2 linked regions of the Stegostoma tigrinum genome follow. The protein of the gene in region 2 interacts with the protein of the main gene of each other region in a pairwise test. Links are inferred from orthologs where the notes say so. Each region holds a gene or a part of one and is shown on either strand. Other genes may lie near its edges.

Region 1 (12,196 bases), on a different chromosome or scaffold from region 2:
CCTTAATAACACTCAGCTCTCAATTATTTGCTCAGGTTTCTGGAGCAGGACTACAACTCAAAATCAGCACGTGGCCACAGGACTAATGAGAATACTGGAAGTGAGGTAGACATTATCAGAAAGCACGTAAGATGCTGTAGAAGCAGGCAGTCCATTGAGTGTTCTCAACCTGGGGGATGCAGCGGGAGGGAGATGTAGCAAGTCCACTCTGACTTCACCAGAACATGTCAAACATATCAAAAGAAGTCACACCAACCTGACACCCATTGGCCATTGTCAAACTTCAGGCTCTGTCCTCCAATATTCATCACAGGAGCACCATGATCCAAGCCCAGCTCAATCTCACGGCTCACACGATCAAGCTGGAATAGACATAGGCCCAGAAAATATTACAGCCAGCATTCCACACAGCAATACTCACCATCCCCAAGACAAATAACTTATACAGGATTAAACAAACCACTGTCCCAGGTAAACTATCAGACAGTCACTGACGGCCCACCACATCACACTCAGCAAGAGCATTCCTTCACCACAGACATGTTCTGCCCTTGCACCACAGCATGTAGTCAGTGGCCTGGGCCAGAATACTCTTCATGGCTTGGATGGTTTGAGTACTCCAACAATAATCTGGTCTCACTGTCACCTTCATACCATGCAGCTGGGAGCGAAAAAGGCTCCCTCCAGTCCAGGCGAGACAGTTGTAGGTACAAAGTGCACAGTATGAGGGGACAGTGATGTCCGATAAGCAATACATAAGTTAAAATTTCTCAGCAGCTAGGTGTGACGAAGTTGTTCACACTCCCAACGACAACATACTGTGTGTAAGCTGGAAAGAGAGGCTGATTTTCGGGGCGGAGTTTTCTTCGGACTAAAGACATTGCCAAACAGAGGCATGGCTCTTCTTCAGGTCCCGTTACCTGAAAATGCACAAAGAAGACCATAAGGTACAGTACAACAACACGTAGAGAGGAGGTACGGTCACAAGGCAAGCGAGAAGGACATGGAGGATTCTGGGGATATGTCACACAGGCAACAGCATGTACATAGCCTAGAGAAGAGGATCAAATCTCAGATCAGAGCACAGCAAAAACATTAGACATGAAACAGGAAAAGACCATTTAGCCTCTTGAACCTGCTCCTCCTTTCCACATAAGATCAAGAGTCGGTCAGGAGGCAGGAATGCCGCAGTGAGTAAGTCATCTCCTGTCCATCATCTAAAAGACAAAAGTCACAATTGTATTGGAATACACCCCACTCGCCTGGGTGGGGTGCACTTCCAAAAACACTCAAGAAGTTCGACACTATCCAGGATAAAAGTTTATTTGACTGGCACCCATCTACTACCTTCAACATTCACTCCCTTCACTACAGACACTCAATAGCAGGAATGTATACCACACGTAACTCGGCAACACTTCAAAAGTATCATCCAAACTGACCACCTCTCCATCTAGAAGGACAATGGCACAGGTACATGGAAACACTATCCTGAATGGAAATTTACTGTTGTTCCTTCAGTGTTGCTGGGTCAAAATCCTGGAACTTCCTTCCTCACATTGTGGGTCTACCTACAGCACGACTGCAGCAATTCAAAAAGATAGTTCACACCACTTTCTCATGGTGACTCATGGTTGGCAATCAGGCCCACAGCAGAGCACTTAACAAGAAGGACTGTAAAGTTGAACTCTATTTCTTTATTCTTCTGCCTTTTGTGTTCTCTGTTTTGGTTTACTTTTCTGCCTTTTAAGATGGCGCCCGAGCTGTACAACACTTTTCAATGTATTTTGCAAAATAATACACGTGAAATTAGGCAGATAGATAGACAGGCTGACAGACAGGTAGACAGACGATGGGCAGTAAATGCTGGACTAGCCAATGACACCTACATCCCAAGAACAAATAGTACAAAACCCTTGCATGGCTAATCCTCTGTCTCAGTTCTACTATTCATATCCCTTGATTCTGAAGCACCAAAAATCTGTCAATCTCAGTCTTAAATGTTTTCAATGACAAGTCCGAAGATTCAAAGCCCTCTGACTGAAGGAACTCTTCATCTAAGTTCCAAATGATCAATCCCTTATCCTGAAACTGTGTCCCTAGATTCACTGCCCTGTGGAAACAATCTCTTGGGTTGACCAGTCAGTTCCCTAATGTATCTCAATGAAATCACCTCCTATTCTTCCATACTCTACAGAATATACAATTCACTTAGCCTCTTATCTCAGGGACAAATTTAATGAAGCTTCATTACTGCCTTCAATGCAAGTCTATCTTTTCTTAAATAGGATGACCAAAATTGCGCAGAGTGTTCCAGACGTGATATCACCAAACTCCTTTATTGTGGCAAAACTTCCTTTTCCTATACTCCAACTAACTTGCAATTCAAGCCACTACAATTGCCTAGCAAATAATTTGTTGTACCTGCATGCTAACTTTGTATTCCTCAAACAAGTGTACCTAAGTCCCGTGAATGGAAAAATTTAGATGTTTACTACATTTTAAAATATTCAATTTTTCTACTAATATAAAAGTGAAGAACCTCACATTTCCACACCTGCCATTTTGTTGCCCACTTAATTAACTTGCCTATATCTCTTGGTGTCCTCCTCTCAGTTTTTTTTTGTCAGCAAATTTGAATATGCCACGTTGAGTCTATTGTCTAGGTCACCCTCTGAGTGAACTAAATTATTTTCTCAAATCCCCTCTAAACCTCCTGCTTTTCACCTTAACATAATGGTCCCTTGTTATCAACCCTTCAACTAAGGGGAGCAACTGCTTTATCCCCAGTCCATGCCACTCAATTTTATACACTTCAATCAAATCACACCCAACATCCCTCCCTCAGTTTTTTCTGTTTAAAGAAAATAACGCAGGCTCTTTTCACAGCCAATATACTCCAACCCAGCCAACATCCTAGCGAATCTCCTCTGCACCCCTCCAGTGTAATCACATTCTTCCTATAATGTGGCAATCTGAGCTACACACAGTACTCCAGCTGTGGCCTAGCCGAAGTTTTGTACAGCTCTAATATAACCTTTCTGCTCTTATAATTCTCGGATGCATCCCATCGGGTTCAGGGAAGTTATTGGTTTTTACACCCTTTAATTTCCCTCGAACTTCTTCTCTCATGATAGTATTGTATTTATTTACTTCTTCTCCTCTTTTTGCCCCTTGTAATTTAGTAATCTTGGAATACTATTAGCGTCTTCTACTGTGCTGCAAAGTATATATTCAATTCCTCTACAATTTCCTGGGTTCCCATTATTTCCTCAGCCTTGTTCTCTGAGTGGCCTTTGTTAACTCTCTCTTCTTTGTATATATTTATAGAAGTTTTTGTTGTTCATCTTGATATTACTTGCAAGTTTACCCTCAAATGTTATCTTCTCTTTTTTTTGTTGTCTTTTGTAGGTTTCTAAATCTTTCCCAATCCTCTGGCTTACCAATAATTTGTTCCCACATTATTTTTTTTTCCTTTCAATTTGATGCTTCCTTGGTTAACCAAGGTTGGCTTATCACCTTCCTAGAATTCTTCTTTCTCGCTCATATGTATCTTTGCTGTGAGCCATTAACTATTTTCTCAAAAATCTGTCATTATTCCTCAAATGTCTTTACTACTAAACTCCTTTCCAAGGCCACACCAGCTAGGTCTGTCCTCATATCTTTCTAACTACCCTTACTTCTGCTTGTAAAAGCTACTTCTGATTCACATTTCTCCCTCTCAAATTTAATGCTGAATTCCGCTATTTTACGGTCCTGGTTTCCAGTATAACACCAGTATAACTAGGTAGGGTTAACAAGAAATTCCACTACAAATAGTAAGATCCTGGAAACACTGAAGATCAGAAGGACCTTGGCGTGTATATCCACAGACCCCTGTAGGTATCGGGTCAGGTACAAAGGGTGGTGAGGAAAGAATTGGGATATTTGCCTTCATTAGCCAAGGATTAGATAAAAGAGCAGGAAGATTATGATTGGATTGTATAAAATGCTGGTTAGGCCATAGCTGGAGTACTGTGTGCAGTTCTGGTCACCACACCGTAGGAATGATGTGATTGCACAAGGGAGAGTGCAGAGGAGATTTAACAGGATGTTGCCTGTGTTGGAGGGGCCCAGCAATGAGAAAAGGTTGGATAGGCTCGGGATATTTGCCTTGGAGCACGGAAGGTTGAGAGGGACTGATAGAGGTGTACAAAATTATGAATGACACAGATAGTGGATATAAAGGCCACTATTAATTGAAGGGTTAATAACCAGGGGTGTCATAGATTTAAGAAGTAAAAGGTTAAGAGGAGAATTCAGCGGAAATGTTTTCACTCAGAGGGTGGTGAGAATCTGGAATTCACTATCTCAAAGGGTGGCAGAGTCAGAAATTATCAGAACACTTAAGCAGTATTTAGATATTCACTTCCTTTGCTGTAGCTTCCAGGGCAATGGGCCAAAATCTGGGATTAGTGTGGTCATATCTTTGCTGACCGGTGCAGACACAATAAGCTGAATATCCTCCTTCAGTGCTGTAAACATCTATCATCTGTATTACCAAACATAATCTGGCAGGCCGGGGGATAGCTTTACTGATGTCTTTTGTTTTCTACAGGAATATGTTGCAGATTGTTTAGTCTTTTCTATTAGTTATAACCTCTCAGTCCGGTGTTAATCTAATAAAAAAGGGATTGGCACCTTGAAGCAGGAACAAGCATAAGAGAACAACAGAGAATCTACAGACTATAACACATCAGCAGGGATAGATGACTAGTTAGCCAAAAGAAAGCAGACAGTAGGAATTCATGTCGTCCTCGAGTTGGAAAGCTAAAACTAATGGAGTGTCATAGGACTAGGCGCTGGAGTCTCAATAATTTACTATTCATATACATGAATTTGATGTGAGAATTAAATGTTGGCCAAATTTGCTGATAACACCAAACTAGTAGATTGAAAAGACGACGTGGACAGTCTACATAGTTAATACAGTAGGAAAAAAAATTGGCAGATGGAATGTAATATGGGAAAACGTACTTGTCCACTTTGACTGGAAGAGAAAAGCAGTACATTCTATAAATGGAGAAAGATCACAGAGCTTGGAAGACAGAGGGATCTTGGTGCGCTGGTACATTGATCACAAAAGGTGAGTATGCAGGTTCACAAGTGATTAGGTGAACAAATGGAGCATTGACAGTTATTGGAAGGGGAACATTTTTCTGAAGAAGGGTCTAGGCCCGAAACATCAGCTTTTGTGCTCCTAAGATGCTGCTTGGCTAATGTGTTCATCCAGCTCCATACTGTGTTATCTCGGATTCTCCAGTATCTGCAGTTCCCATTATCTCAGACTTTAAAAGTAGTGGTGATTTACTGCTATACAGGAACTTGGTGAAACTTCATTTGCTGCACTGTGTACTGTAATATCTCCATATCGGAAAAAAGGATATAATTGCATTAAAAGCAGTGAGAGAAGCTTCAATAGACTCGTTCCTAGACAAGGACATCTTAAGATGGTGAGGCCACTTCTTTTATTTCTCAGATGGTCATTAATCTGTGAAATTCTATTCCCCAGAACAGAAAAGACTGGGTCACTGAATTTATTCGAGGCTCTCCCCTCTCCCCCTGCCCTTCCCTCTCTTTCTGCTCCCGCCGCCCCCCCTCCGTTTCCTCCTTCCCTCTCTCTCTCCTTCTCCCTCTCTCCATCCACCCTCCCTCTCTTTCTATCCATCCTCTCTCTGTCTCCTTCTCACCTTCCGTTCTTCGTCCAGTTCCTCCAAATTCTGCGCCTGCGCCCTCCCTCCGTGGATGAGTCCATCATGCCGGGGAGGGAAGGGCGGTGTGATGAACAATTTAACTCTCAGCGTATTTCCGCGCTCTCTCCCTCAGCCGTGGTCACATTCGTCATACTAAAGACTTTTATAATATTTCCCCGAGCAGTACCCGCTATTCAGAACCTATTGATCGGCCAGAAACCATTCTTAACACAGATCACTCCCTCCCCGACAATATGGGGCACCCGGTTCCCATAGCAACAGCCTCAACAATGGAGAGTGGGAGAGAGACAACAGAGAATGGAGAAAGACAACAGTGAGACAGAGACAACAGAGTGAGAGAGAACAGAGAGTCAGAGAATAGAGTGAGTGAGAGAGAGAGAGAGAACAGTGAGTGTGAGAGAAAAAGAGTGAATACAGACAGTGCGAGAGAGAGAATAAAAAATGACAATACTAAGAGATATAGAGGAGATGGAATAGAGGGAGAGAATAGAAAATGTGAGAGAGAGATAGTGAGAAAAGAGAGTTAAAGTGAGAGAGATAAGAGTGAGTGAATAGGGAGAAAGAAAAAATAGACCGAGAATAGAGAGATTGAGGGAGGAAACAGAGCTAGAGATAACAGAATGATTGAGGAAATAGAGTTAAAATAGATAGAGGGAGACAACAGAAAACTGGACAGAGAATAGAGAGAGAATTGAGAAAGGGAGAGACAATAGAATGATAGAGAAAGAGAAAAGGATTGTGAGGGAGAAAATAGAGAGAAACAACACAGGGAGAGAATAAACAGTGTGGGAGTGAAGATAAAGAAAAAAAGAGACAATCGTGAATGAGAACAGAGAAAGAGGCAACAGAGATCTTTCCAGAGAGAAGAGAGAGAGTGAGGGAGAAAGAATAGAATGTTACAGCGTGAGGATATAGAGATAGAATGACAGAATAGAGAAAATAACGGAGATAACATAGAATAGAATATGAGGGAGATAAAATAGACAGGTAGATGGACAACAGAGAGTTAGAAAATACAGAGAGAGTGAGGAAGTGAGTATAGAGAAAGAAAATAGAGAGTGACAGCAAGAATAACGCAAGAGAAAATAGAAAGTGAGGAAGAGAACAGATACAGAAAGACGATAGAGAGAGGAAGAGAACAGAGATAGTGGAAGAGAATAAAGAGAGGGAGAGAGTAGAGAATAGAAGCAGAGAGAATAGAGAGATAGAGTAGGAGACAAAATAATAGACAGAAGAAAAGAGACAATGGAGAGAAAGAGAACAGAGAGTGAAAGCAAGAACAGAGAGAGCAAATAGAGTGAGAGGGAGAGGCTATAGAGAGATAGAAAGAATAGAGAGTGGCAGAGAAGATAGAGAGAGAATAACAGGTGAGAGTGAATAAAGTGAGAAAGAATAGAATAATGAGAGAGCATTGAGATTGAGAGTAGAGAGAAAATACAGTATGAGAGAACTGAGAGTCAGAGAGAGTGAGAGAGATAACGAATAAAAAGATAGGACAGAAAACTCAGACAACAGAGGGATCGAGAGAGTGAGGAAGATCATAAAGAGTTGGAGACACAAGACAGCGAAATAGACAGAGAGAGAGTGTGAAAAACACAGACAAAATAGAGACATAGAGTGGGAAAACTAAAGAAACTTCTTCTGTACCCTGCTCCCTGTCCTACACCTCTGCCCCCCTCCCACTCCTCACAATCCACCCCTATGCTCCCTCCCTCCCCTCCCCCTCCCACTTCCCCGCCCCCTCTCCCATTCCTCACAAACACACCCCGTTCCTCATGCCCCCCACCTACTCCCCAGTTCTCACTTCCCTCACTTTCCCCTCTCTCTACCTCACTCACTCTCTCTCCCCCAGTTTCCCCAATCCCACCCCACTCACCTGATCTTCTACCCACGCCCCCTCCTCCAACTCTTTCCTGTTCACTTCCTCCCTCTTCCCCCCCAACTCCCTATCCCTGCCTCCTTCCTCCCTCCCTTTCTCTATTCCACCTTCCTCCTTCACACTTTTCTTACTCTGCCATCTCTTCCCCAAGTTCCCTGGCCTTTTCCCCGCTCCTCACACACTCGCCTGGCCCCTCTCCTGTTCCCCATCGCCTCCCACATTGCCCCTGGCCTATTGCCCTCACTCTCCCCAACCAACTCACTGCCCCTTCCTCTCCTTACCCCCCCTACTCTGTAATTTATTCCTCCATTGTCTGTGCCCCCCTGCCCTTTACCTCCAGTTGATCCCCCATCCCCCACTACATGCACAGACGGATCCCATGCTGGTTAGCAGGTGACCATGTTAAGTTGGATATGTTCTGCATTCTCCACGCAGGGTGAGTAAGCAGTGTGAAGATGGTTGAGATCAACACAGCCCTTACTCCATTGGCGCTCTATGAAGAGAATATGGATTTACCAGTGGAGGTGGCAGCCCGGCAGAGACAGATGGTGAAGAAACGTTTGCAGGATTTTCCTGCTCGCATCCTTTTATTTTTGCTCAATTCCTATGTTGCTTGGGGCTCTTGTCATTGTCAAGGTATTAGGGAGACAGCAGACAATGTGAGAAGATAGCTGATAGAACACTGACTCGTGGGAGTGATGGCTGAAAACCAGTTTAATCTCAGGTTGTTGACTTGCTCAACGAGCTGGCTTATTTTCATTCAGACCATCTTAGGTGACATCATCAGTGGAGCCTCCGATCAAGCAGTGTCATTCTGCTCCGCTTGGAATTTATACTGTTTGGTCTGTTATAGTGAGTAGTGTCATTTCTGGTTTTGATCTGTATGGGTTTGTATACAGTGTCCAATTCTATGCATTTGATGACAGGTCGAGAACGATGCCTCTGGGATTTCCTATGCATGCCTATGTTTGGCTTGGGTTATTCGAGTTACTTTTCCCAGTTAAACTGATAGCCCTCATTGTCTGAGTGTACCAATATTAAGGAGAGTTCATCGTGCCATTTAGCTGTTACCTGATGTTCATGTATTCTGATGGCTAGTTTCCGTCCTGTCTGTCTGATGTAATGTTGGTGGCAGTCATTGCATGGTATTTTGTAAGCCGTGTTGGTTCTGCATATTGTGTGAATGGGGTCTTTTATCTGAGTAAGTGTTTGTTGTAGTGTGGCTGTGGGCTTGTGAGCTACCATGATTCCTAGTGGTCTTAGGACTCTTGTTGTCAGTTTAGATATGTTCTTGATGTACGGCAGTGTGGCCAGTGTGTTAGGGCATACTGGGTGCTCCTGGAGGACACCATTACAGACCATAACTCAGCCAGGTTCCTGGTGGTGTGAGGCAGCGATGCTGACCAGTGAACTGCAATACATATCCTGGATGTGTTTAAAGGGAATAGTGCCAAGTAAGCTTCATTCTCTACCTAACATTGTGATATACGTGTCCTAAGACTATTTGATGGCGGATAGTGTAGACGGAGTTTTAGTCTGCACATAACCCCAAGCTGTACTTGTCCTCACAGGGTTTGATGAGGGACAGCATAAATGGAGTTTTATTCTGTCTCTTAAACACAAGCTGTCTCTTGCCTTGGAGTGTCTGATGGAGACAGTGTAGAGTCAGCTTTATTTTAGGTTACTTTCAGTTTACAGTAGTAGAGAGACCTTTACTGTCTATCTAACCCTATGCTGTCCCTGTTCTGGGAGTGTTTGGTAGAGACAATGTGGAGAGGCTTTACTTTCAGTTTTAAAAAGTAGAGGCAGCTTTACTCTGTATCTAACCCTGCTGTACCTGTCCTGGGAGGACATTTATATATGTTACAAACACCAGAGGTCCTAGCAATGACTCTTGAGGGACACCACTGGTCACAGACCTCCAATCAGTAAAACACCCCTCTACAACTACCCTCTTCCTTGGTGTTAAATATTGGCTGGGACACCAGGGAGTGCTGTGTATTCTGAGATAATGGGAACTGCAGATGCTGGAGAATCCGAGATAAGAAAGTGTGGAGCTGGATGAACGCAGCAGGCCAAGCAGCATTTTCGGAGCACAAAAGCTGATGTTTCAGGCCTAGACCCACCATAGAGGAGAAGACAGGTGGGCCCAAAACCAGCCCAGCTCATCCCTGCCTCCCTAACCTGTTCTTCCTCTTACCTATCCCCTCCTCCAACCTCAAGCCGCACCTCAATTTCCTACCTACTAACCTCATCCTGCTCCCCTGACCTGTCCGTCGTCCCCGGACTGACCTATCCCTTCTCTACCTCCCCACGTACACTCACCTCTTTGGGCCCCATCCCCGCCCTTTCGACTTGTCTGTCAACTCTCCACCTATTTTCTCCTCTATCCATCTTCGATCCGCCTCCCCGACTCTCCCTATTTATTTCAGAACCCTCTCCCCCTCCCCCTTTTCTGATGAAGGATCTCGGCTCAAAACATCAGCTTTTGTGCTCCTAAGCTGCTGCTTGGCCTGCTGTGTTCATCCAGCTCCACACTTTGTTATCTGGTGGTGTGTATTCTTATAAGTTGTTCTGTGGGATCTTTGATGTCCACCTGAAATTGTGAATGCAGCCTTGGTATAACCCTTCACCCGAGTGACAACTCTGATGCTGAAGTGGCAGTCTGTCAGTGGTTGTTGGATGCCATTCTCAAGTGTAAGGCTTGAAACAGGAGGGATGGTCATCAACTCAGGCAAGTGATACCCCCAGGGCTGGGTGGTAGTGACACTCGCTCGGGGCTGGAGATTCCCCAGCTCAGACTGGGCTTTGTTCAGCTGCTTTTAAAAATACAATTTCATCACTCATGTAGACAGCCAGCACTGAGACCTGAGGAAAGTGCAGCAGTGAGTGGGAGAGAGGAGGGTGAGATAGGAGGTTGTGGAGGTGGATTTGAATGGGGACAGGAATGAGAAACTAGGAGAGAAAGGGGAGATGTTGAACAATGGGAAAAGAAAGGCGGAGAGTGGGCAATCAACAGAGAAAGGAAAAAGGGAAAGATAGGAGCAAGAAAGGCGAGTTGGTAGAGGGTGAGAAAAGAAAGGGGAGTAGAATGGGAAACAGGAAGAGGACTTAAGAAACTGGACTGCAGGATGGGGGGAATGAAGGGCAGAGTGGGGTGATTACGGGGGAATTATAGCCCTGAGATTTACGTTGCAGCAGTTTCATGGAAATATCAATTATTTTTCACTTAACCAATAAAGTTCAGCATTCGTGATTGGCTCAATGGACCTGGTGAATGAGAGGATTCAACATTTAAGTGGCACATTGCATGCTCATCCTGAAGCCTTGGTGAGTCACAGTTGTCTTGTTTCCCATGTGAGGCTGTTCAGCTCCCAGCACTTTGCCTTTTCACAGAGATGGAAAAACTGAGTACATCACCCAAATACAAGAATTATCAAGTTTATCACCCATTCAGAGACAGGAGTGATTAAGTGTATCACCCAGTAAGAGATGGGACTGTGTCACCCAGTTATAGACAGCAGCGATGGACTATGTCACCCAGTGATAGACAGTGTGATGGACTGTGTCACCCAGTGATAGACAGTGTGATGGACTATGTCACGCAGTGATAGACAGTGTGATGGACTGTGTCACCCAGTTATAGACAGCAGTGGTGGACTGCATCACACAGTGAGAGACAGGAGTGATGGACTGTGTCACCGAGTGATAGACAGGAGTGATGGACTGCATGACCCATTGAGAGATAGGAGTGATGAACTGCATCACCCAGTGATAGACAGCAGTGATGGACTGTGTCACGCAGTGATAGACAGTGTGATGGACTGTGTCACCCAGTGAGAGACAGGAGTGATGGACTGCGTCATCCAGTGACAGACAGGAGTGATGGACTGTGTCACCTAGTTATAAACAGCAGTGATGGACTGCATCACTCCTGCATCACCCAGTGAGAGACAGGAGTGATGGACTGCGTCACCGAGTGATAGACAGGAGTGATGGACTGCATCACCCAGGGCGAGACAGGAGTGATGGACTGTGTCACCGAGTGATAGACAGGAGTGATGGACTGCATCACCCCGTGAGAGACAGGAGTGATGGACTGCATCACCCCGTGAGAGACAGGAGTGATGGACTGCATCACCCAGTGAGAGACAGGAGTGATGGACTGTATCACCGAGTGATAGACAGGACTGATAGACAGGAGTGATGGACTGCATCACCCGGTGAGAGACAGGAGTGATGGACTGTGTCACCGAGTGATAGACAGGAGTGATGGACTGCATCACCCCGTGAGAGACAGGAGTGATGGACTGTGTCACCGAGTGATAGACAGGAGTGATGGACTGCATGACCCATTGAGAGATAGGAGTGATGAACTGCATCACCCAGTGATAGACAGCAGTGATGGACTGTGTCACGCAGTGATAGACAGTGTGATGGACTGTGTCACCCAGTGAGAGACAGGAGTGATGGACTGCGTCATCCAGTGACAGACAGGAGTGATGGACTGTGTCACCTAGTTATAAACAGCAGTGATGGACTGCATCACTCCTGCATCACCCAG
Region 2 (12,468 bases):
GCAGGAAGTGCTACACTTGACCCCACACCTCCTCCCTCACCCCCATCCCAGGCCCCAAGATGACTTTCCAAATTAAGCAGAGGTTCACCTGCACATCTGCCAATGTGGTATAGTGCATCCACTGTACCCGGTGTGGTTTCCTCTACATTGGGGAAACCAAGCGGAGGCTTGGGGACCACTTTGCGGAACACCTCCGCTCGGTTCGCAACAAACAACTGCACCTCCCAGATGTGAAGCATTTCAACTCCACCTCCCATTCCTTAGATGGCATGTCCATCATGGGCCTCCTGCAGTGCCACAATGATGCCACCCGAAGGTTGCAGGAACAGCAACTCATATTCTGCTTGGGAACCCTGCAGCCCAATGGTATCAATGTGGACTTCACAAGCTTCAAAATCTCCCCTTCCCCCACTGCATCCCAAAACCAGCCTAGCTCGTCCGTGCCTCCCTAACCTGTTCTTCCTCTCACCTATCCCCTCCTCCCACCTCAAGCCGCACCTCCATTTCCTACCTACTAACCTCATCCCGCCTCCTTGACCTGTCCGTCCTCCCTGGACTGACCTATCCCCTCCCCACCTATCTTTTCCTCTATCAATCTTTGGTCCGCCTCCCCCTCTCTCCCTATTTATTCCAGAACCCTCTCGTCATCGCCCTCTCTGATGAAGGGTCTAGGCCCAAAACGTCAGCTTTTGTGCTCCTGAGATGCTGCTTGGCCTGCTGTGTTCATCCAGCTTCACACTTTGTTATCTTGGATTCTCCAGCATCTGCAGTTCCCTTTTTCTCGTTGCCCAAATTGCATTTTTTTTGCATGCCCCTCCAATTGATTCAGTACAGCGGAAGTATGCTGGTGAATAAGATTCTTTTGATTTCGGCACAGCGCTACAGAATCACAGAATGGTTACAGCACAAAAAAAATCTAATTTGAATACTTAGGCTAGTGCTGGCCCTCCAATGGAACAATTTACATAGTGTCACTCCTCTGCCCTCTTCCCACAGCCCCGTAAAATTTTCCTTTTCTGATAACAATCTAACTTCCTTGAGTGCATTAATTAAACCTGCTTACAGTCTTTGCATTTCTGAATAGAAACTAATTGATTCCTTCCTAAAATGTGAAACTGGATGGAGTTCTCTGGTCGAGGCCACACCAGTATTGCATACAAACTTAATACAACTTCCTTTTGCACACTATATGACTGTTAGTTTAAAAAAAAGACTTTTTTTGTAATTGTAATATCTCAACCTATCCTTCAATGATTTATGTACACAGGTCCCTCTGCTCCTGCACTCCTTTTGAAGTTTACTCTTTATTTTATGTTATCTCACTTTTCTTACTGCCAACGTGGATCACTGGGCAACTAACTTCAGATGAATACTCGCCATTGTCCCAATTTCAATTTCCATTTTGGAATCCTTCTGCCTCGAGTGGTACTGATAATTGATTCTGAATGGTAGCTGTTGCTTCACAGAAAGCCAAAGATTTAGAAATATCCAGTAGAAAAAAAAAGTCACTTAATGCAATTATAGTGAACTTCACGCAGATCAAAATCAGAAGTGAAAAGACTGTGTTGAACATGGTGTACTGCCACACACAAATATTTTCAGCAACTCACCTCTGCATGTCTATAATCTTGAACTAAAGCAAAGTGATCTGCAAAGCTACTTAGACCATATTTTAAATTAGGAGTTTCTGTATCGGAGTACTCTCGGAGTTCTTTAACCAGCAGGTCTGACTTATCACGTAGTCTTGCAGTTTTCCGTGCATAGGCTGCAAATAAGGTGCAGATCTCACCAAAGTGCTTTTCCACATTTACAACAGTGCTGTGAATATACTTTGTTTGACTGTCTCTGAAAAAGAAAGTTTTACTTTTAGTTGCTGCAGAATAATGAAAGTTTTAGAGATAAAAATTATGACAGAGGATCTCTTCTAAAACTTGTTGCATGTTGTGACTAGTAATTGTGATGTCAACCTTGCTTCTCCTTTAGCAGCATTGTGGAAATCCAGAGAGTTGACAAGTGAGACAAATTTGTGAATTGTGGTGGGGATAATTTAGGAGATAGCAAAACAGACGGCTCTTGCTCATCTTTACCCATCCACAACCCCATCAGCAAGTTCTGAAAGGGGTGAACTTTTAGTATTACACAATTTAGCATCAAGCCATCAGGGATGCTAAAATATTTTGGCTCAAATTTCTGCAGGATTCCCCTGATGTTGGAAAATGTAGAGAAGATGGATGCCATAGCTGATAATAGCCATTTCTTCATCACAATCTCCAATCTGCACAAAAATCCCAAGATGATTTTTATTTTCTTGCACATTAGTGATATTGACTGCACAACGTGGAATACCGCAGAAAATTCAGCACAGAAGAATATGGCGGTCCTCGTGCATAAATCACATGTAGCTAGCATTAGTACAGCGGGTAACAAGGAAGACAAATTGAATGTTGGCCTCGATTTCAAAAGGGACTGGAATACAAAAATAAGGAAATCTTGCTAAAACTATACAAGATCACACCTAGAATACTGTGAACACTTTTGGTTCCACATCTAAACAGGCAGTAAAAAGAAGCTTCAATAGGTTGATTCCAGGTACTCATTAGAGTTTACAAGAAGAAGAAATTACCTTGTTGAAGTATACATTCTCTTAGGGGACTTGAGAAGTTAGATACAGAGAAGTTGTTTCCCTTATAGGTGAGTTTAGGACAAAATGGCATAACAAAAAGAATAAGGGTTGCCCGGTTAGGACAGAGGACAGGATTTTCTTCTCTGTGTGTAATCAATCTGTGGAATTCTTCACTGCAAAAAGCTATAGAAACTGGGCCGTTAAGTGTAGTCAAGGGAGAATTAGGCAGATTTTGTTATTAAGGGGAATCGAGGGCTGTGGGAAAAAGTCAGGAAAGTGGAGTTGAGGATTACCAGATCAGTCATGATCTCATTGAACTACAGCAGACTCAATGGCCGAATGGTTTGCTTTCACTCCGATGTATTATAGTCTCATAGTCTTAGGACCTCCAACTTTTCCTGTGCGACACAAAGTGAAGTCTGTTGGAACCATCCAAAGTTTCCAGCTCTAACTCAAAGTTAGGAATATTTTTTGGGGAAAAAGAAGATTCTAGACACCTGGTAATTGCTTGTTAAAAGTTTTAAATTCCCAGGCCGGAAACACAGTCAATTATGGCTTATCTTTCACATGGTCCATCTGCATGACCTCACCCACTCTAAGAATACCTAAGCTTCTGAGCCTAACTCAGAATTTGAAATTTTTTTGGAGGATCCTGAGGAGCAGGGAGTTGCCAGCTGGAAGCTCAAACCTCTGACAACTGGAAGACGTTGGCCTAAATATACCAGAGCCTTTCAGCATAACTAAAATGGTTCCCTTCAGTGTGGATTAGAGACACGCGTATCTGAGGTTCTGCTTTCCTCAGTGCTGCTAGAAAGTTCAGAAATTGAGTTTTCTGAATTTTTCACACTCCAGGGAGGGCAAGGATTCGAGTCCAAAACAAAATCTGAGCTCCCTTCCCACTCTCCAATCCATCCTCTTTAATTCGAAAGGGGTCATTAAACATAGGAGCAGAAACAGGTCATTCAGCCCATCATGTCTGGTCTGCCATTTGATGACATCACGGCTGGGCCGATAATCATTAACTCCACTTTTCTGCCTTTTCTCCGTAACCCTTGATTCCCTCCCCGATTCTATCTACATGCTGAAGATACTTAATGACCCAGCTTTAATAACCGTCTGCAAGGAATTTCAGATTCACTGCCATCTGAGAAGAAATTCCTCCTCATCCCTGTTTTAAATGTATAACCCCTTACTCTGAAATTATGCCCTCTTGTCCTAGATTCTGTCACAAGGGGAAACAACCTTTCCACATCTGCCCTGTTAAGCAGCCAAAGAACCTTGTACATTTCAATAAGGTCTCCTCATTCTCCTAAATTCCAAAGGATACAGGCTCAACTGACTCAACCTCACCTCATAAGACAAACCCTTCACTTGTGTAAAAATGTAGGGAATCTCCTCTGGACTGCTGGCAATGTGAGGATATTTTTCCTTAGACTAGTGTCTCGTATGGTTTTTGCAATATCTCCCTACTTTTCTTCTCCACCACCTATAAAATTAAATGCCAACATTCCATTTATCCTCCCTACTACTCAATGAATTTAGATGCTAGCATTGTGTGAGTCATGCGCAAAGACTGCCAAACCTCTCCGTCATGCAGAGAGTAGGAACTGCTGATGCTGGAGAATCTGAGATAACACAGTGTGAAGCTGGATGAACACAGCATGCCAAGCAGCAGAGGAGCAGGAAAGTTTGACGTTTTGGGTCGGGACCCTTCTTCAGAAAATTTTCTGAAGAAGGGTCCCAACCCAAAACATCAAAATTTCCTGCTCGGCCCTCTGTTGCACAATTTGTTCCAAATAAATAATATTCAGCTCCTCTATTCTTCTGGTTAAAGCACTTAACTTCACATTTTCCCACCTTATATTTCATCTGCCAAGTGTCTGCCCACTCACTTAACCCATCTATATCTCTCTGCAGAACCTGTTCTATCCTCGTCGCTTGCCTTCCCACCTATTTTTGTGTCATTCACAAATTTGGCTATAGTAAATTCACTTTCCTCAACCAAGTCTATTATCGTAAATCAATGTGGCCCTCACATTGATCATTATAGCACTCCAGTCATTGTTGGTTGCCATTTTGAAAAATGCCCACCCTCCTTAACCCAACTCTTTTAGTTAGCGAATCCTCTATTCATGCTAGGATATTACTTTCAACTCCATGGGTTTTTATCTTATTAAGTAGCCTTATGAGTAGTACCTTATAAATACAACTAGCTCCCTAATCCCACAATTCCTTACATCATGCAGATAAGGAGGAATGAGGTCTGTGGGGAATTTCAAAAGAAGAGTGAAATTTTAAATCAAGAAATTACTTGACAAGGAACCAATGCTAGTCAGCAAGCATAGGGGTGATCAGTGAACTGGAGTTTGAGAGAGAAAATGCACGAGCAGCAGAGTTTTGGATGATTTCACATATCTGAGTGGAAATGGGAGTCATTATAAGAGACTTGTCAGAGATGTATTAGAATCATTAAGTCTAAAGGTAACCAAAAAACAGACATGGATGACAGCAGATGAGTTGGTGCAAGGTGGTTTAAGGTGATATTCTGAAGATTGGCATATCTGGTATCAGGGATGGTGTAGCAATACAGTCACAAACTTATCCTGGGATCAAATACAACAAAATTGTTCAGCTGCAGACAGTTTCCACAGTAAGGAGTGGGTTCAGATGTCAGGGAATGGAATCCACAGCAGCAAGTGAAGGTGGTGGCTTTGGTTTTCTGCAATTTTAATCAGCAGAGAGCGCGGGCTATTAATGATACCAGAATACGGGGAATTAGGATGGTTGGCCGTTTAGAAATGAAGCTTAGTGAGTTGAAGATGGGTCTCATGGGCAAGGTGAGCAATGATAAGGCAGGAGAGGAGATTAGATAGAAACTGGAGAAAGATGCGAGTTTCTACTTAGCCAAGCCCTGAATTTTACAGATTAAAATAAAAGCAAAGTACTCAGGATCTCAGACTAATGATTTCTTTCTAACCGCCAAATGACGCTGGTTCGCGAAGCCGCTGATGGAGCCTCGGCCTTTGGCCTCGAGCTTGCCTACAAACGGAGCCCGAAACGGTCCCACGGCCAGAGGGTAAACGGGGAGTCTTACCTGGCTCGCGTGTCCTGATCTCGAGCCTGAAACATGACGGCTGTCCCGTACCCCGCGACTCGTTAAAAAAAGACGGGAAAAGCGGCCGTTGTTTCAGCCATCAGCCGGAGCCGGAGCAGGCCTGCGCCATACACCGACCACGCCAGTCCACAACGAGTGCGGAATTGGCCCCGTTACCATAGCAGCCCCGCCTGACGCGCGTCCCATACCCATGGTCAAGGCGCGACTCCGAACCACCTGCCGCGCTCCGCCAACCTATCGCCCTCTGATAACCACGTGATCAGAAAGGGGCAACAAACGTGCAAACAGATAACAAAGTGTGAGGCTGGATGAACACAGCCGGCCAAGCAACATCTTAGGAGCACAAAAGCTGACGTTTCGGGCCTAGACCCTTCATCAGAAAAGGGGGATGGGGAGAGGGTTCTGAAATAAATAGGGAGAGAGGTGGAAAGTGGATGGAAGGTGGATAGAGGAGAAGATGGGTGGAGAGGAGACACATCAATGTGGATTTCACAAGCTTCAAAATCTCCCTCTCCCCATTGCATCCCAAAACCAGCCCAGCTTGTCACTGCTTCCCTAATCTTTTCCTCCTCTCACCTATCCCCTCGTTCCACCTCAAGCCGCACCTCCATTTCCTACCTACTAACCTCATCCCGCCCCCTTGACCAGATCATCCTCCTGGGACTGACCCATCCGCTCCCTACCTCCCCACCTACACTCACCTCTACAGGCTCCATCCCCACCCCTTTAACTTGTCTGGCTCCTCTCCACCCATCTTCTCCTCTATCCATTTTCCCCTCTCCCTATTTATTTCAGAACCCTCTCCCCCTCCCCCTATTCTGAAGAAGGGTCTAGGCCTGAAACGTCAGCTTTTGTGCTCCTAAGATGCTGCTTGGTGTGCTGTATTTATCCAGCTCCACACTTTGTTATGTCGGATTCTACAGCATCTGCAGTTCCCATTATCTCTAAACCTGAAAACTGCTTGTGAATTGCCCCAGAGATAATGGGAACTGCAGATGCTGGAGAATTCCAAGATAATAAAATGTGAGGCTGGATGAACACAGCAGGCCAAGCAGCATCTTAGGAGCACAAAAGCTGACGTTTCGGGCCTAGACCCTTCAGGCCCGAAACGTCAGCTTTTGTGCTCCTGAGATGCTGCTTGGCCTGCTGTGTTCATCCAGCCTCACATTTTATTATCTGTGAATTGCCCCACACTGGTGCAATGTAGTTAACAGCCTTCATTGACTGATGATTCTCATTCATGTTTACCGTCTTCCCAGCACAGTTGCCCTTTGTTCTTTAGCTTAGAGTTGCAGGTCAGGACCTTGTGGAGGTCTAGACACAGCTGACTCTGTGGGAATATAATTGTATCAGTGATAATGGGAACTGCAGTTGCTGGAGAATCCAAGATAATAAAATGTGAGGCTGGATGAACACAGCAGGCCCAGTCTCAGGAGCACAAAAGCTGACATTTCGGGCCAAGACCCTTCATCAGAGAGGGGGATGGGGTGAGGGTTCTGGAATAAATAGGGAGAGAGGGGGAGACGGACCGAAGATGGAGAGAAAAGAAGATAGGTGGAGAGGAAGGGAGGGGATAGGTCAGTCCAGGGAAGACGGACAGGTCAAGGAGGTGGGATGAGGTTAGTAGGTAGGAGATGGAGGTGGAACAAGGGAGTCACGGAGAGACTGGTCTCTCCGGAAAGCAGACATGGGTGGGGATGGAAAAATGTCTTGGGTGGTGGGGTCGGATTGTTGATGGCGGAAGTGTCGGAGGATGATGCGTTGTATCCGGAGGTTGGTGGGGTGGTGTGTGAGAAAGTGGAGGATCCTCTTTGGGTGGTTGTGGCGGGGGCGGGGTGTGTGGAATGTGTTGCAGGAAATGCGGGAGACGCGGTCAAGGGCGTTCTCGACCACTGTGGGGGGAAAGTTGCGGTCCTTGAAGAACTTGGACATCTGGGATGTGCAGGAGTTGAATGCCTCATCATGGGAGCAGATGCGGCGGAGGTGGAGGAATTGGGAATAGGGGATGGAATTTTTGCAGGAGGGTGGGTGGGAGGAGGTGTATTCTAGGTAGCTGTGGGAGTTGGTGGGCTTGAAATGGACATCAGTTACAAGCGGGTTGCATGAGATGGAGACTGAGAGGTCCAGGAAGGTGAGGGATGTGCTGGAGATGGCCCAGGTGAACAGAAGGTTGGGATGGAAGGTGTTGGTGAAGTGGATGAACTGTTTGAGCTCCTCTGGGGAGCGAGAGGCGGCGCCGATACAGTCATCAATGTAACGGAGGAAGGGGTGGGGTTTGGGGCCGACTCTCCTCTCCACCTATCTTCTTTTCTCTCCATCCTCGGTCCGCCTCCCCCTCTCTCCCTATTTATTCCAGAACCCTCTCCCCATCCCCCTCTCTGATGAAGGGTCTAGGCCCGAAACGTCAGCTTTTGTGCTCCTGCGATGCTGCTGGGCCTGCTGTGTTCATCCAGCCTCACATTTTATTATCTGTGGGAATATGAGTGGGCTGAAAAACGCCAAATGGAATTTAATCTTGGACTAGGGACGAGTAATTCATGCTAGCCGACCAGCAATCCCATGTCTCACAAAGAAATTTTTAAAAATGTTGTGAAGTGATGCATTTTGGTAGGACTAACAAGGCAAGGGAGTACATGTAGAATGAACATTGTTGGCAATCACTTGTTGACAAGCATTATTGTCAACCAAGGAAATTTCACTAGTCATGGGATCTGTAGGTTTTTGCATGACTGATGATTGTGGTTGAATGGTCAGACCCTACAAAGTATAGACTATCAGAGGGACCATGGTGTGAATATCCACAGTTCCTTTGGGGGAAAGTTGGTTAAGACGACATACGGGATGCTTGCTTTCATAAATCAAGGCATTGAATATAAGATCAAAGGGGTTATGAAGGTGCTATGTGAAACATTAGTTCAGCCACAGCTGGAGTACTGTGTACAGTTCTGTTTGCCACATCATAGGAAAGGTGTGATTGCACTGGAGAAGTGCAGAAGAGATTCACTAGGATTTTGAAGCATTTCGGATATGAAGAGATACTAAATAGACCAGGGATGTTTTCTTAAGATGAGAGAAAGCTAAGGAGGATCTGACTGGGGTGTACAAAATGATGAGGGCCTTAGGCAGGATATATAGGAAGAACCATTTCCTCATAGTTAAGGAATTAATACACAAGGGGCATAGATTTAAGGGAGGGAGCTGAAGGTTTAGAGGGAAATAAAGGAAGAATTATTTCACACGGCAGATGTTGGGTATCTGGAACTCATTGCCAGAGAGAGTGGTAGAAGCAAGAATCACCACAAAATTTAAGAGGCTTTTAGATGATCACTTAAAGTGCTGCAGTAGTATTTGAAGTTCAAGCAGCTTTGGCTCAGTATTTATAAGCTGGAAGCAAGGTGCCTGGTGCCAAGATTTGGGAAATTTACTCAGAACTGGAAAGGAAATTGCAGTGAGAAGGTAGGATCCATTCGTCGTAGTCCCTGTAGAGACCAACAACATAGGCAGAACTAAGAAATAGATTGTGCAAGCACATAATAGGAAACTAGTCAATAAATTAGAAAGTGGTTCTTTGAACTTTGTGACCGGGAAAGTAGAAAGAGTTTTTAAATGAACAGTGTTAGGGAAGCGTGGGCTCAAGAGATCAAATGTAGAAAAATGTAGCACACCAAAGAGACAAGGTAGGAAAGGAAAATAATAATATGGGAGATGATGCTCAGAGAATGTAAGAAGAGGCAGAAAGAAAAAAAAATCAAGGAATACACCTATAAGAAACAAAAACAAAATGGCTGGAAAAGCTCAGCATGTCTGGCAGCATCTGTGGACAAGAAAACAGAGTTAACATTTAGGGCCTGATGACCTTTTGTCCGAACTGGAACCAGTTCGGAGGAAGGGTCACCGGACCTGAAATGTTAAGTTTCTTTTCTCCTCCACAGATGCTGCCGGACCTGCTGAGCTTTTCCAGCCACTTTGTTTTTGTTCCTGATTTACAGCATCCGCAGTTCTTTTAGTTTTTACACCTACAAGAAAAACTGGATGTTACAAAAAGATAAAACTAAAAGCCATTTGTATATAACATCCCTAATAATGTAAAAAAGGATAGTGCACATTGTATTCGTATTTTCAATCTCATTGTCATTGAGGCGACTTGGTTCCAGGATTACAAGGATTAAGTCAGAAATATTGAGGGTATATGACATTCAAACAAAAAGAATGGATAAAAATGGAGGATCGCACTGTTAATCAAGAATGGCATCTGCAATAGTTACAGATTATCTTGTGTCAGGTGGTCAGGAAGCAACAAGTTTAGGAAGAGATGAGGACTAGTAGGAAAAGGAGTTACTACTGGAAGTAGTCTACAGGTCCCCTATCAGTGAACAAAATGGGATAACAAGATATGCAAGAAGAAGTAAGTCATTGAATGTCATTAAGGCAAAGATCGACAGTGTCTTGATTAGAGGAGCAGGAAAGTTGATGTATTGGGTCCGGACCCGAAACATCAACTTTCCTGCTCCTCTGATGCTTCCTGGCCTGCTGTGCTGCTCCAGCTCCGCATTGTGTTATCTCTGACTTCAGCATTGGCAGTTGTCACTATCTCCAGGATATTGTTTAGTAAGGGGATCAAGGGTTATGGGGAGAAGGCAGAAACATATTAGCCACAGTTGAATGGTGGAGTAGACTCAATGGGCCAATGGCCTAATTCTGCACTTATATTTTATAGTCTTATGGTGGCATGGGTGATTGTTACACAGGGACATTCATGGATGACTTTAATCTACATGTAAACTAGAAAAATCAGATTATTAGTGACAGCCTGAAGAGTTTCTTTCAGCATTAGAACTGATCAGTCAGTAGGTTGTATTGTGTAACGTGGCTGAATAAATTAATTACATCTTTAAGATTAATAAAAATGTTTTCTCATCTCTGTCATAAATGGGTGACCCCTTATTTTTAAACCATGACCCCTAATTCTAGACTCTCCCACAAGATGAATCATCCTTTTGACATCCAGCTGATCAAGTCCCCTTCGGAACTTATATCTTTCAGTCAAGTCACCTCAGACTGCCAGGAACATGGTGGGAAATTGAAGAGGGGAAGAGGTGTTTTTGTTTTTTTGTTAGTGTGGTCTATAGTTTGGAAGGACTACATCCTATAGTAATACAGACTAGGGAATAATGACCCTAGAGTAATTAATATTTTGCTATTAAGCATCTTCCAAAGGATTTAATTTAAAGAGGTATGCCTTGGCAAAATGATTCAAAGCCGTGTTGCACTTTTCCTTTGGTATTTTGGGAAGTTGGGCACAGTTCAAGTGCCTGGAAGCCAATACGTGTACAGGAAGTGTCTCCAGACACAGCTCTTGGAAGTCCAGGTCGGGGACACTATGGCTTCAGCATGACCAGGATGGGAGCTGAACATCCAATATTTGGGAAAGACAGTCAAAAAGGAAAAGACAGTTGAGTTGCTTTACTGATTAAAGAGGAAACTTATTCAATAATGAGGAAGGTTATCAGATCTGGGTTAGTAGAATCTGTGTGGGAAGAGCTGAAATAACCCAAGGGGCATAAGACAAAGGTGCTGTATCGAAACCTTCAAACTGATGTTGGGAATGGCATTAAACTAACTAACTAGGAAATTAACAATTCACACAATGTAATTATGGGTGATTTTAAGTTGTAATGAGGAAAAATGAATTTCAGGAGTGTATATAGGATTGTTTTCTGAACGCATTTATTGAGGAACACCTTGAGAACAGAACAGACCAGACTATTGCATAAGGAGAAAGGAATAGTTGGCAATCGAGTTGTGTGAGGCCCCTTTGGGAAGGAGCGACTATAATGTGATGGAATTTCTTGCTAAGATAGAGAGTGACGTAGTTGATTCTAATACTAGGGTTCTAAATCTAAATAGAGAAAATTACAATTGTATGAGGCACAATTAGAATGTGATGGATTGGGGACATTACTTAAAAGGAAGATGGTGGTAAGGCAGTGGCAAAATTTAAAGGGTAAGTGGGTGAACTGTAGCAATTATTCATTCCTACCTGGCACAAAAATAAAACAAATTTTACCTAGTACTACTTCCCTGGTAATTGTCATTTTCTTGAGTTCCTCTTTCCCTTTCATTTCTGATTCACAGCTATTTCCCAAATCATACTATTATCCCTTCTAGTGAAGACCTATGCAAAATATCTGTTCAGCTCATCTGCCATCTCTAATTTCCCAGACTTATTTTCTATAAGGTCAACACTTGGTTAATGCTTTTCTTTTTTAAATATATGAAGGAACTTTTTCTTTCTGTTTTATACTTTTGACTAACTTTCTCTCATTCTAATTTGCCCCACCTTATTTATCTTTTAGAAAGTTTTTGCTTTTTTTTAAAATAATATTCTGCCCAATCTTCTGACCTGCTATCTACCTTTGCACAATTACATGTTTTTTTAAACAGTGCTATCTTTGCTTTTTTTAGCTAATCAAGTGTGACAGGTCTATACCTTAGATTGTTTTTGGAATATATCTATTTTGTGCTTTCTAGAATATTCTCTTAAATGTTTGCTACTGTATCTCTTTTGACTGATTCCTTAACCTAAAACGTTCATTCACTTTCACTAGCTCTGTTTTCATGTCTTACTAATTGCCCATGTTAAAATTCAAAATAGGAGTCTTAGACCCACACTTCTCTTCTCTAAACTGATTTCACTGTGTACCATTTCAGAATTCTGAGAACATGCAGA

What was found.
Region 1: the proteins of cibar1 (region 2) and cby1 interact in binary tests that used the Homo sapiens proteins (3 or more experiments, as listed by UniProt). The two-hybrid records come from large-scale screens. The link is inferred for Stegostoma tigrinum from reciprocal best matches to the Homo sapiens genes CIBAR1 and CBY1.

Annotation. Positions count from the first base shown.
Region 1 is NC_081391.1:1,423,951-1,436,146, forward strand, and holds the start of cby1 (protein chibby homolog 1), read right to left. Parts: upstream 5,807-12,196; 5' UTR 5,730-5,806; intron 5,126-5,729; exon of another isoform or gene 4,576-5,125; intron 921-4,575; 5' UTR 898-920; coding exon 820-897; intron 363-819; coding exon 257-362; intron 1-256. Other genes in the region: protein FAM227A-like, read left to right, coding at 8,088-8,211, 10,880-10,962. UniProt on the Homo sapiens protein: Inhibits the Wnt/Wingless pathway by binding to CTNNB1/beta-catenin and inhibiting beta-catenin-mediated transcriptional activation through competition with TCF/LEF transcription factors.
Region 2 is NC_081358.1:90,555,694-90,568,161, reverse strand, and holds the start of cibar1 (CBY1-interacting BAR domain-containing protein 1), read right to left. Parts: upstream 5,994-12,468; 5' UTR 5,753-5,993; coding exon 5,718-5,752; intron 1,846-5,717; coding exon 1,611-1,845; intron 1-1,610. UniProt on the Homo sapiens protein: Plays a critical role in regulating mitochondrial ultrastructure and function by maintaining the integrity of mitochondrial morphology, particularly the organization of cristae.